3 linked regions of the Xenopus tropicalis genome follow. The protein of the gene in region 1 interacts with the protein of each later gene in a pairwise test. Links are inferred from orthologs where the notes say so. Each region holds a gene or a part of one and is shown on either strand. Other genes may lie near its edges. The genes, in order: bysl, hmbox1 and coil.

Region 1 (3,756 bases):
TTTCTTTAAAATATATACATTTTTGGTGTTACTGTTCCTTTAAGATGACTCTAAAGAGGGCAAAGAAGTTAAGAAAAACAAAATCTCTCTTCATATTACCAGTGCAGCTAAGCAAACACTGGCATGTATATTGTAAGATGTATCCAGTATGGCAGCATCATGGGCACTCAAAGGTTTAGCGTCACCAGAAAAGATTTTCAAAGCAGCAATTTGGAGGTGTCCTAATATTTTTGTGAAGCATTAAAAAATGTTTCTGCTTCTGCAGATTTTGAATAAAAAAGTAAAGTATTTTGCAGCATTTGGTATGTGTATGTTCCCTCCCAATTGTGCGGACTGCCATGAGAATGTGAACAGGAAAAGAGAAAATCTATATCCAATTTACTGTGATTTTCTTTTCCTGGAGCATTCCAATGCATTGTGGGTTATGTACAATGGTGGCATTTGGAGGATGCAGGCTGAAGGCAATCATACAGCAATAGGAAGTATGGTTGCTGCCTAGGCAAAAAAAGAAATCATGGCTATTGTTAATGTTATTTATAAGAAAGGAAGATAAACATAAGACAGATATATTTTGGTATAGTATATCAGTCTTCCTATATTCATAACTTTATACCCTATTAATAACATTGGCATCCAGCACATTTTTTTTTTTACCAGCAACGCTATTGGGGGTTCAAAATTATCATTAAAAAATTCTATTATTCCTTAACAAAGGCAAAAAAAAATCCTGAAAATAAGAGGCAGAATACATTTTCAACAGGTTATATTTACAGTGTTGATTTTTAAAAAAGGATATCTTTTAACTGTCTCCCTATTACCCATAGCATTCTTAGTGTGATACTGCACTGCAGTGTTGAATTCGTAGGATTCCGTTTTTCTATAATTAACAAAGCAGCAGTCATGCAAATAAGTAAGCGTAAACTTAGTTTACAAAAGATAAAAACAATCCAGAAGTTAACACGTATCTGCAAACATCAAAATGACGTTTCTTCTTTTTCTACTACTACATTAAAAATGACAAACACTTACCAAGTCACTCCCATGCTGGTACTTAATTGTACAAAACACAGCGACGTGTTATGACGTCACGGCGCTCAAAATTGTTGTCATTATTTGCGGTTCACGCAAGTCCCACATCGAGGCGTACGATGCCAGGGGAATAGGAGCATGCGCAGTGTGTGGATCTATGCACGTGTATGTCAGGAAAATGCCAAAGCACAAAAATTCTCGGGGAGCTGCTTCTCGCTTACTCCCCTTAGCTGATCAGATCGAACAGGAGGGAGAAATTAGACCCTCGTTCCGTAATAAGCGCAAGGGGAAACCTACAGACGACGCCGAAGATGATGGATACGTGGACGAGAAATTGTCCCGAAGGATTCTGGAGCAGGCCCGTATTCAGCAGGAGGAATTGGAGGCCGAATATAGTCTGGGGAATGTGACCCCTAAAGAGAGGACAACTGTTTTAGGTAAAAAAGGGTAAAGAAACATTTCCAAGGCAGAATACAAAACAAAAGTTTTTAAACCGGTATATAAAATCAGTGGGGAGTCTTTAGACTGAGTCATAACCAACAACTAGTGCTGTAGTTGTAAATACATAGAAACGAGTATGGGACAGTCTTAATAATCCATTAATGTAATCCATTTAGGGCCAGATTATATTGAAATTTTGCCATGCAAAAAAAGTCTACTGGGGGCCAAAGAAATGCTCAAATGCTCATTAGCTGGTTCAAATTGAACATTCCAGGTATATAATATGATACAGTCATACACATATAAGAATATTTGAAAAGTTGTACATAAATAATTTGCTAACTTCATTCTGTGATAAAATGAAGGATATCTAATGTGCTGTTTTATATGCTGATGCATCTCCATGCAAACACATGTGCAGTATGAAGCAAGGAGGGAAAGGAAGGGAGAATACCTTTTTAGAGATGGCTGCCTGTTCTAGAATATGTGAAGTAAGTGTGACTGAGTAAATATTTGATTAGGTGAGCCAAAAGTGTGGCATTTTTACTAAACAATAGGAGGACTATTGGGCAGTATGCTTTTTAAATTTTGACTTGCATTCTCCTTTAATGATTATACTCCACATAGCATATATACTTTAGTGTATATGTTATAAAAGACCGGAATCATGTGTGCAAAAATGGATTGTACACTGCACCTTCATCTTAATTTTTAAGATTTGATTTTATCAAAAATGTTTTTAGGACCCTTTTTAAATTAAAGGTACCATACAGGCAGTGCTGCTTTCTAGTTCTATTTAGCCATGACAAGGTACAGTATGCTCAGTTATACTAGCTGTAATTAGAACAAAAAGTGTGTAATATAGCCTAACATGCACTAAATGTATTCAGACTGTGACCCTTAACTCGCATTACAAATATTTCATGTTCTCTTGGGCCTACCCTGGGAATTGTTTGGAACCGGTGCTCCACAGAAACAGACCTTGTAGCATTCACTAAGTACAGTCTGAATTAACTTATTTACAAATTAGAGGTCATTATTTCTTCATATTTATCTTTGCTTGTATATTGGCAAATCAATCATTATCTTTTGTAAATCCTTGCCCTTCAGATTCCAAGAACAGAGCAGAGGGTTCAGACTCTGAAGATGATGAGTGGCCTTCATTGGAGAAGGCAGCCAGTCTGGAGAAAGGTACCCTCAACGAGGAGGTACAAATTAACCCTGAAGATGAAAAGGCAATGGAAATGTTTATGAATAAGAACCCTCCACTAAGGTAAAGTAGCAACTATCTGGAGACGCCAAGGGTTACATGGGTCAAATAAAGCCGGGCCAGAACTTGGGGTAGTCAGAAGGGAGCAACGATGTGGGGGTGTGACAGTTACCTCTTCTGCCTACCCCCTAGTACACACACTATTGCCCCAGCTGCTTTTCTCGCATCCTACCCGGGATGTCAGTGCACTTTCTCATGTACACACATGAGAGGTGGGGTGCAGGGTGGCCAATTGGGTTGCCTAGGGTGCCCGGTCGGCTTGGCCAGCCCCTGAATAAAATAATCATTAATAGAAATACTTTATAGCAAAGATTACGGAACTTTATCCATACACTATCATTTGTGAAATTTAACAGGTCTGGATATGTACATTTTAGTCAAAAGATGATTTTGAATAAAAACAAATTAGTGATGAGTGATTCATAACATTTTCAACCCTAACCTGCTGTTTTCCAACCCAGCTTCTACTATAACTTTTATGTGGTTCTTCTCCGATGACTCTTATATGGGTGGGACCAGTCACCACAGGAGATGGGTTAGAATTAATACATCACCTGGTTGCAGTTTTACCTGCCACCCTCTTAAACCCGCTTCTAGGGCTTGGTTCTCGTGGGTTTTGAGTCATCCCATTTATCCCTAGTGTGAATGAATGCTTAGTTTACCTATAGTTGCAACCAGTAGAGCAAAATGAAACTGAATTGCTGTCTCTGCTAATTTCTTTAGTATATGGCTTTACATAATGACAAACCCCTCCATTGTTTCTAATCCCTCTATCCCTCCTAAAAGGGGTGTAACCATGTATATTCACAGCCCAGTCACTTGTTTCATCTCACTAGGTCTCAGTGATACAAATTATATCCTAATTGTCAGTACATTCAATAGACTCCAGCTCTTCTAATTTCCCTGACAAGCTCTGTGCATTTGCCAGCATGCCGTGGAGGTTACTATTTTTCCCTCTAATATTTACATTACAGAACTAAGAGTTAGATCTGAGGTTACTATTAGGGGTTTTCCAT
Region 2 (3,756 bases), on another chromosome or scaffold:
CATGTTAGTGCAGTGCGAGGAGTGCAATGAGTACAAGTATCAGGCTTCACTGGGCAACATAGTAACATACACAGGAATTATGGCTGGAAAACAGACACGAAACCATCAAGTTTAAAGGTTTTGTCCAAATGAAAGCTAAGTGCTAGCTGGCAAGGCAGTGCCTAGGCATCGGGCTGAAGTGTGAGGGTGCAAGTATCAGACTAGGGTGCAGGTCAGTCAGGGTGCAAGGACCGGGCAGAGAGGGAGGCATGAAACAAACATGAGTGATAGAAGCAGGGGTGCCATTCAGCAATGTGTATCAGGGAGAAGTGCTAGGGGCAAGTTGTATATGGGGCAGGGTAAATGTGCGGGGTGCTACAGGGGTGAGTGGGGGACAGCTGTACACAGAGCAGTTGGCACATGGGGAAGAAACAGAGCGCAGTTTAAAGAGGGGACGGTGTACAAGAGTGCCGTATATGTGAAAGAAGTCTGAGAGTGTAGAGTTGCACAAGGGACAGACAATTATGTGAAAGAGAGAAAGGTGAGCGCACAGCTGGGCAGGGGCAATGTCAATACAGAAAGTAGCAGTCAGAAGAGTGCAGTTGGGCAGGGAATAGTGTGAGAGTGCCGAGAGGGGCATCCACACCTGTGCAGTGTGCACTGTCACATACAGCAACATACCCGGCAGCAAGTAAGTGCCATGTCAGGGAGAGTGCAACAGGGTAGCAGCAGCGAGAGTGCACTAAGTGCCATGTCAGGGAGAGTGCAACAGGGTAGCAGCAGCGAGAGTGCACTAAGTGCCATGTCAGGGAGAGTGCAACAGGGCAGGACCAGCGAGAGTGCACTAAGTGCCATGTCAGGGAGAGTGCAACAGGGCAGGAGCAGAGTGAGTGCACCAAGTGCCATGTCAGGAAGAGTGCAACAGGGCAGGACCAGCGAGAGTGCAGTAAGTACCATGTCAGGGAGAGTGCAACAGGGCAGGAGCAGGGAGAGTGCAACAGGGCAGGAGCAGGGAGAGTGCAACAGGGCAGGAGCAGGGAGAGTGCAACAGGGCAGGAGCAGGGAGAGTGCAGTAAGTGCCATGTCAGGGAGAGTGCAACAGGGCAGGAGCAGCGAGAGTGCAGCAAGTGCCATGTCAGGGAGAGTGCAACAGGGCAGGAGCAGGGAGAGTGCAGGGGGTGAGAGGCAACACAGGGTATATAATGTGCCAGGCAGGATGCAAGTTCAATGGGTTCAGCGTGAAACTGCCAGGGGCTTGGCTTAAAAGTTAAAAAAGTGTCAACACAACATAAGGGTGCAGCAAGCGAAAAGAAAAAGGCAAAAAAGTGCAGTGGGGCAGGCACAGAGAGAGTGCAGGAGTTGCCAGTCAAAGTGAGAGGGCAGTGAGTGCAGGATGTGCCAGTCAGAGTGAGAGCAGTCAGTGAGTGTTGTAAGTGCCAGAGTAAGAGAGTGCTGTAGATGCCAGTCAGAGTGAGAGAGCAGTGAGAGAGTGCTGTAGGTGCCAGTCAGAGTGAGAGAGCAGTGAGTGAGTGAGAGTGCTGTAGGTGCCAGTCAGAGTGAGAGAGCAGTGAGTGAGTGCTGTAGGTGCCAGTCAGAGTGAGAGAGCAGTGAGTGAGTGCTGTAGGTGCCAGTCAGAGTGAGAGAGCAGTGAGTGAGTGCTGTAGGTGCCAGTCAGAGTGAGAGAGCAGTGAGTGAGTGCTGTAGGTGCCAGTCAGAGTGAGAGAGCAGTGAGTGAGTGCTGTAGGTGCCAGTCAGAGTGAGAGAGCAGTGAGTGAGTGCTGTAGGTGCCAGTCAGAGTGAGAGTGCTGTAGGTGCCAGTCAGAGTGAGAGAGCAGTGAGTGAGTGAGAGTGCTGTAGGTGCCAGTCAGAGTGAGAGAGCAGCAAGCGAGAGTGCTGTAGGTGCCAGTCAGAGTGAGAGAGCAGTGAGTGAGTGAGAGTGCTGTAGGTGCCAGTCAGAGTGAGAGAGCAGCAAGCGAGAGTGCTGTAGGTGCCAGTCAGAGTGAGAGTGCTGTAGGTGCCAGTCAGGGTGAGAGAGCAGTGAGTGAGTGCTGTAGGTGCCAGTCAGAGTGAGAAAGAGAGGCAAGGGTGCCAGGCAGTGTGTGGCACAGTGAGAGAGTGCAGTAAGAGACAGTCAGGCAGTGTGTGGCACAGTGAGAGAGTGCAGTGAGAGACAGTCAGGCAGTGTGTGGCACAGTGAGAGTGCAGTAAGAGACAGTCAGGCAGTGTGTGGCACAGTGAGAGAGTGCAGTAAGAGACAGTCAGGCAGTGTGTGGCACAGTGAGAGAGTGCAGTAAGAGACAGCCAGGCAGTGTGTGGCACAGTGAGAGAGTGCAGTAAGAGACAGCCAGGCAGTGTGTGGCACAGTGAGAGAGTGCAGTGAGAGACAGCCAGGCAGTGTGTGGCACAGTGAGAGAGTGCAGTGAGAGACAGTCAGGCAGTGTGTGGCACAGTGAGAGAGTGCAGTAAGAGACAGTCAGGCAGTGTGTGGCACAGTGAGAGAGTGCAGTAAGAGACAGTCAGGCAGTGTGTGGCACAGTGAGAGAGTGTAGTAAGAGACAGTCAGGCAGTGTGTGGCACAGTGAGAGAGTGCAGTAAGAGAGTGAGACAGAGAGAGTAGAGTGCAGCGGGGCAGAGTGCAGGAGTTGCTGGAGAGCAGGGGGTGCCAGTACCTTACCTGAGTGCCGAGCAGCGCTCACTCTCTCCCACACAACATGAGTCCGGTTGCCGAGCCCGCAGCCAGCGGGCAGAAAGAGAATGTATGCCAGTCCTATGCCAGTCGGAGTGCCAGTAGCAGCCCTCGGTGCCCGACGCGCTCACTTTCCCCCACCCGCCTCCGGGACTCACATCGGAACCCGACCCGTCTTTGTCTGCCACCCCGCCGCCATGTTGGCACTCAGCAGCGCGCAGCTCCCAGCCGAATGTTTGCGCGGGAGTCTGGGAGTTGTAGTTTTCGGCGCAGCCAGACTCTCCCCGGGGAGCGAGCGGAAGGCGAAAGCAGGAAAACTACACTACCCGGCATGCCGAGCGCCAGTCTCTCTCTTACCGCCCTATCCCGCCTGGCTGAGCGTACGTCACACTGACGCAGCGAGTTATGGGCCGGAGAGACTACAAGTCCCAGAAACCATCGCGTCACCAGAAAAAGGGGCGCTCGGCGGTGAGGCCGGGGACAAGGCAAAGATGAAGCTGGTGAGATTCATGGTTTTGGGTTCTTATATTTTCTCTCATGCCTTTATAGATATGATATGCCCTGGCGTGTCTGTATCCGCAATGTGCTTCCCAAATGGCGCCTTTCCAACCTTTGCCTGAACTACAGCTCCCAGCATCCCCCAACAGTGTTGTAGTTCTGCGAGTAAATAGCAGGTCCTAAATGTGCCCATTCCTCTGTTTTATGTGTGTGGGCTCCAGGTCCTCTCTAGTCCCTTCCCTGACAAAGTCCCTACCCTCACTTAAATATGGCCATCAGATGTACATAGATGTCAGTTTACCCTCTGACAGGGTATTTAGTAAGAGTGGTGCAAAAGTGCAGTAACCCATAGCAGCCAATCTACTTCCATGAGTCTGACCTGCTCTAAATTGATCAAAGCTGATTGGTTGCTATGGGCTAATGCACATGTGTTTGTTGCTAAGGGGTCCACATCCTGTTATATAGTGAATAAAGTACCCCCTATTGTAACATATAGGGATATTATAAGCCCCCGAGGGGTTCCTTATAATATATAGTGAATAAAGTGCCCCCTATTGTAACATATAGGGATATTATAAGTCACAGAGGAGTTC
Region 3 (3,756 bases), on another chromosome or scaffold:
AGAATTAAACATGGCCTCAAATATAGTGCCCTTAGTACAGCGCCCCCACATACACTACCCCCCCCCCCACCGTCAGTCCCCATGGCAGCAGTGAGTATGTGCCCAATCCCCTTGCAGTCTGGGGGTAGCAGAACTACATTAATAACAGGGGCAGTCACAGCTTGGCTGCTCTCCTCCCCATGTATAGAGACAGGGGTGTACCCAGTACTATATACCCCATGGCAGCAGTGAGTATGTGTCCAATCCCCTTGCAGTCTGGGGGTAGCAGAACTACATTAATAACAGGGGCAGTCACAGCTTGGCTGCTCTCCTCCCCATGTATAGAGACAGGGGTGTACCCAGTACTATATACCCCATGGCAGCAGTGAGTATGTGCCCCATCCCCTTGCAGTCTGGGGGTAGCAGAACTACATTAATAACAGGGGCAGTCACAGCTTGGCTGCTCTCCTCCCCATGTATAGAGACAGGGGTGTACCCAGTACTATATACCCCATGGCAGCAGTGAGTATGTGTCCAATCCCCTTGCAGTCTGGGGGTAGCAGAACTACATTAATAACAGGGGCAGTCACAGCTTGGCTGCTCTCCTCCCCATGTATAGAGACAGGGGTGTACCCAGTACTATATACCCCATGGCAGCAGTGAGTATGTGCCCCATCCCCTTGCAGTCTGGGGGTAGCAGAACTACATTAATAACAGGGGCAGTCACAGCTTGGCTGCTCTCCTCCCCATGTATAGAGACAGGGGTGTACCCAGTACTATATACCCCATGGCAGCAGTGAGTATGTGCCCAATCCCCTTGCAGTCTGGGGGTAGCAGAACTACATTAATAACAGGGGCAGTCACAGCTTGGCTGCTCTCCCCCCATGGCAGCAGTGGGAGGAGCTTACCTTGAGTCGCTCCCATAGTTACAGTATGTGGGAGGAGCTTACCTTGAGCCGCTCCCATGAGCACCAGTAAAACTAGAGGCCCCGCCAACATCTTGCCTGTAACATTGGCCTGTCACGTGCCCCTGATCAGCTGATGCTCACATGACTGAGGAATCATCCAATCACTTCCTTCCGCCGTGGTAGTGTGACGTATTTCCGGAGCTGTGCCTGTGCCCCAAGCAAGATGGCGGCGCCCAGTTGTGTGCGAGTGAAGCTGCTGTTCGACTACCCGCCCCCGGCCCTCCCGGAGAGCTCCATGCTGTGGCTGCTGCTGGATGTGAAGCGGTGCCGGGCGGTGACCGACCTGGCCAGTATTATCCGCCAGAGATACATGGGCGGCCGGGGGGGCGGCCTGAGCCTGTATGTGGAGGATTGTCTGCTGCCGCCGGGGGAGAGCATCCTGCTCATTAGGGACAATGACTCCATCAGGTACGGGGGGGGGAATGGCTGAGTATATCCATCATTGGGGGGGGATGGCTGAGTATATCCATCATTGGGGGGGGGAATGGCTGAGTATATCCATCATTGGGGGGGGGGAATGGCTGAGTATATCCATCATTGGGGGGGGGAATGGCTGAGTATATCCATCATTGGGGGGGGGAATGGCTGAGTATATCCATCATTGGGGGGGGGGAATGGCTGAGTATATCCATCATTGGGGGGGGGAATGGCTGAGTATATCCATCATTGGGGGGGGGGGGGGGGGAGAATGGCTGAGTATATCCATCATTGGGGGGGGAATGGCTGAGTATATCCATCATTGGGGGGGGGAATGGCTGAGTATATCCATCATTGGGGGGGGGAATGGCTGAGTATATCCATCATTGGGGGGGGAATGGCTGAGTATATCCATCATTGGGGGGGGAATGGCTGAGTATATCCATCATTGGGGGGGGAATGGCTGAGTATATCCATCATTGGGGGGGGGAATGGCTGAGTATATCCATCATTGGGGGGGGGAATGGCTGAGTATATCCATCATTGGGGGGGGAATGGCTGAGTATATCCATCATTGGGGGGGGGGGAATGGCTGAGTATATCCATCATTGGGGGGGGGAATGGCTGAGTATATCCATCATTGGGGGGGGGGGGAATGGCTGAGTATATCCATCATTGGGGGGGGAATGGCTGAGTATATCCATCATTGGGGGGGGGGAATGGCTGAGTATATCCATCATTGGGGGGGGGGGAATGGCTGAGTATATCCATCATTGGGGGGGGGGGGAATGGCTGAGTATATCCATCATTGGGGGGAATGGCTGAGTATATCCATCATTGGGGGATGGCTGAGTACCCATGGGGGGGGGGAGAATGGCTGAGTATATCCATCATTGGGGGGAATGGCTGAGTATATCCATCATTGGGGGGGAATGGCTGAGTATATCCATCATTGGGGGGAATGGGCTGAGTATATCCATCATTGGGGGGGGGGGGGGGAGAATGGCTGAGTATATCCATCATTGGGGGGGGGGGGAATGGCTGAGTATATCCATCATTGGGGGGGGGGAATGGGCTGAGTATATCCATCATTGGGGGGGGGGATGGCTGAGTATATCATCATTGGGGGGGGGGGGAATGGCTGAGTATATCCATCATTGGGGGGGGGAATGGCTGAGTATTCCATCATTGGGGGGAATGGCTGAGTATATCCATCATTGGGGGGGGGGGGGGGGGGAGAATGGCTGAGTATATCCATCATTGGGGGGGGGAATGGCTGAGTATATCCATCATTGGGGGGGAATGGCTGAGTATATCCATCATTGGGGGGGGAATGGCTGAGTATATCCATCATTGGGGGGGGGGGGGAGAATGGCTGAGTATATCCATCATTGGGGGGGAAGCTGAGTATATCCATCATTGGGGGGGGAATGGCTGAGTATATCCATCATTGGGGGGGGGAATGGCTGAGTATATCCATCATTGGGGGGGGGAATGGCTGAGTATATCCATCATTGGGGGGGGGAATGGCTGAGTATATCCATCATTGGGGGGGAGGGAATGGCTGAGTATATCCATCATTGGGGGGGGGGGAATGGCTGAGTATATCCATCATTGGGGGGGGGGGGGGGAATGGCTGAGTATATCCATCATTGGGGGGGGGGAATGGCTGAGTATATCCATCATTGGGGGGGGAATGGCTGAGTATATCCATCATTGGGGGGGGGGGGAATGGCTGAGTATATCCATCATTGGGGGGGGGGAATGGCTGAGTATATCCATCATTGGGGGGGGGGGAATGGCTGAGTATATCCATCATTGGGGGGGGGGGAATGGCTGAGTATATCCATCATTGGGGGGGGGAATGGCTGATATATCCATCATTGGGGGGGGGGAATGGCTGAGTATATCCATCATTGGGGGGGGGGAATGGCTGAGTATATCCATCATTGGGGGGGGGGAATGGCTGAGTATATCCATCATTGGGGGGGGGGAATGGCTGAGTATATCCATCATTGGGGGGGGGAATGGCTGAGTATATCCATCATTGGGGGGGGGGAATGGCTGAGTATATCCATCATTGGGGGGGGGGAATGGCTGAGTATATCCATCATTGGGGGGGGGGGAATGGCTGAGTATATCCATCATTGGGGGGGGGGGAATGGCTGAGTATATCCATCATTGGGGGGGGAATGGCTGAGTATATCCATCATTGGGGGGGGGGGGAATGGCTGAGTATATCCATCATTGGGGGGGGGGAATGGCTGAGTATATCCATCATTGGGGGGGAATGGCTGAGTATATCCATCATTGGGGGGGGAATGGCTGAGTATATCCATCATTGGGGGGAGGGGAATGGCTGAGTATATCCATCATTGGGGGGGGGGAATGG

The links.
Region 2: the proteins of bysl (region 1) and hmbox1 interact in binary tests that used the Homo sapiens proteins (3 or more experiments, as listed by UniProt). The two-hybrid records come from large-scale screens. The link is inferred for Xenopus tropicalis from reciprocal best matches to the Homo sapiens genes BYSL and HMBOX1.
Region 3: the proteins of bysl (region 1) and coil interact in binary tests that used the Homo sapiens proteins (3 or more experiments, as listed by UniProt). The link is inferred for Xenopus tropicalis from reciprocal best matches to the Homo sapiens genes BYSL and COIL.

Annotation. Positions count from the first base shown.
Region 1 is NC_030678.2:70,761,518-70,765,273, reverse strand, and holds the start of bysl (bystin), read left to right. Parts: upstream 1-1,189; 5' UTR 1,190-1,207; coding exon 1,208-1,466; intron 1,467-2,580; coding exon 2,581-2,743; intron 2,744-3,756. Other genes in the region: med20 (mediator of RNA polymerase II transcription subunit 20), read right to left, coding at 1,030-1,043. UniProt on the Homo sapiens protein: Required for processing of 20S pre-rRNA precursor and biogenesis of 40S ribosomal subunits. May be required for trophinin-dependent regulation of cell adhesion during implantation of human embryos.
Region 2 is NC_030681.2:151,880,728-151,884,483, forward strand, and holds the start of hmbox1 (homeobox-containing protein 1), read right to left. Parts: upstream 2,861-3,756; 5' UTR 2,654-2,860; intron 1-2,653. Other genes in the region: ints9 (integrator complex subunit 9), read left to right, coding at 3,157-3,165. UniProt on the Homo sapiens protein: Binds directly to 5'-TTAGGG-3' repeats in telomeric DNA. Associates with the telomerase complex at sites of active telomere processing and positively regulates telomere elongation.
Region 3 is NC_030686.2:52,235,090-52,238,845, forward strand, and holds the start of coil (coilin), read left to right. Parts: upstream 1-1,090; 5' UTR 1,091-1,110; coding exon 1,111-1,355; intron 1,356-3,756. UniProt on the Homo sapiens protein: Component of nuclear coiled bodies, also known as Cajal bodies or CBs, which are involved in the modification and assembly of nucleoplasmic snRNPs.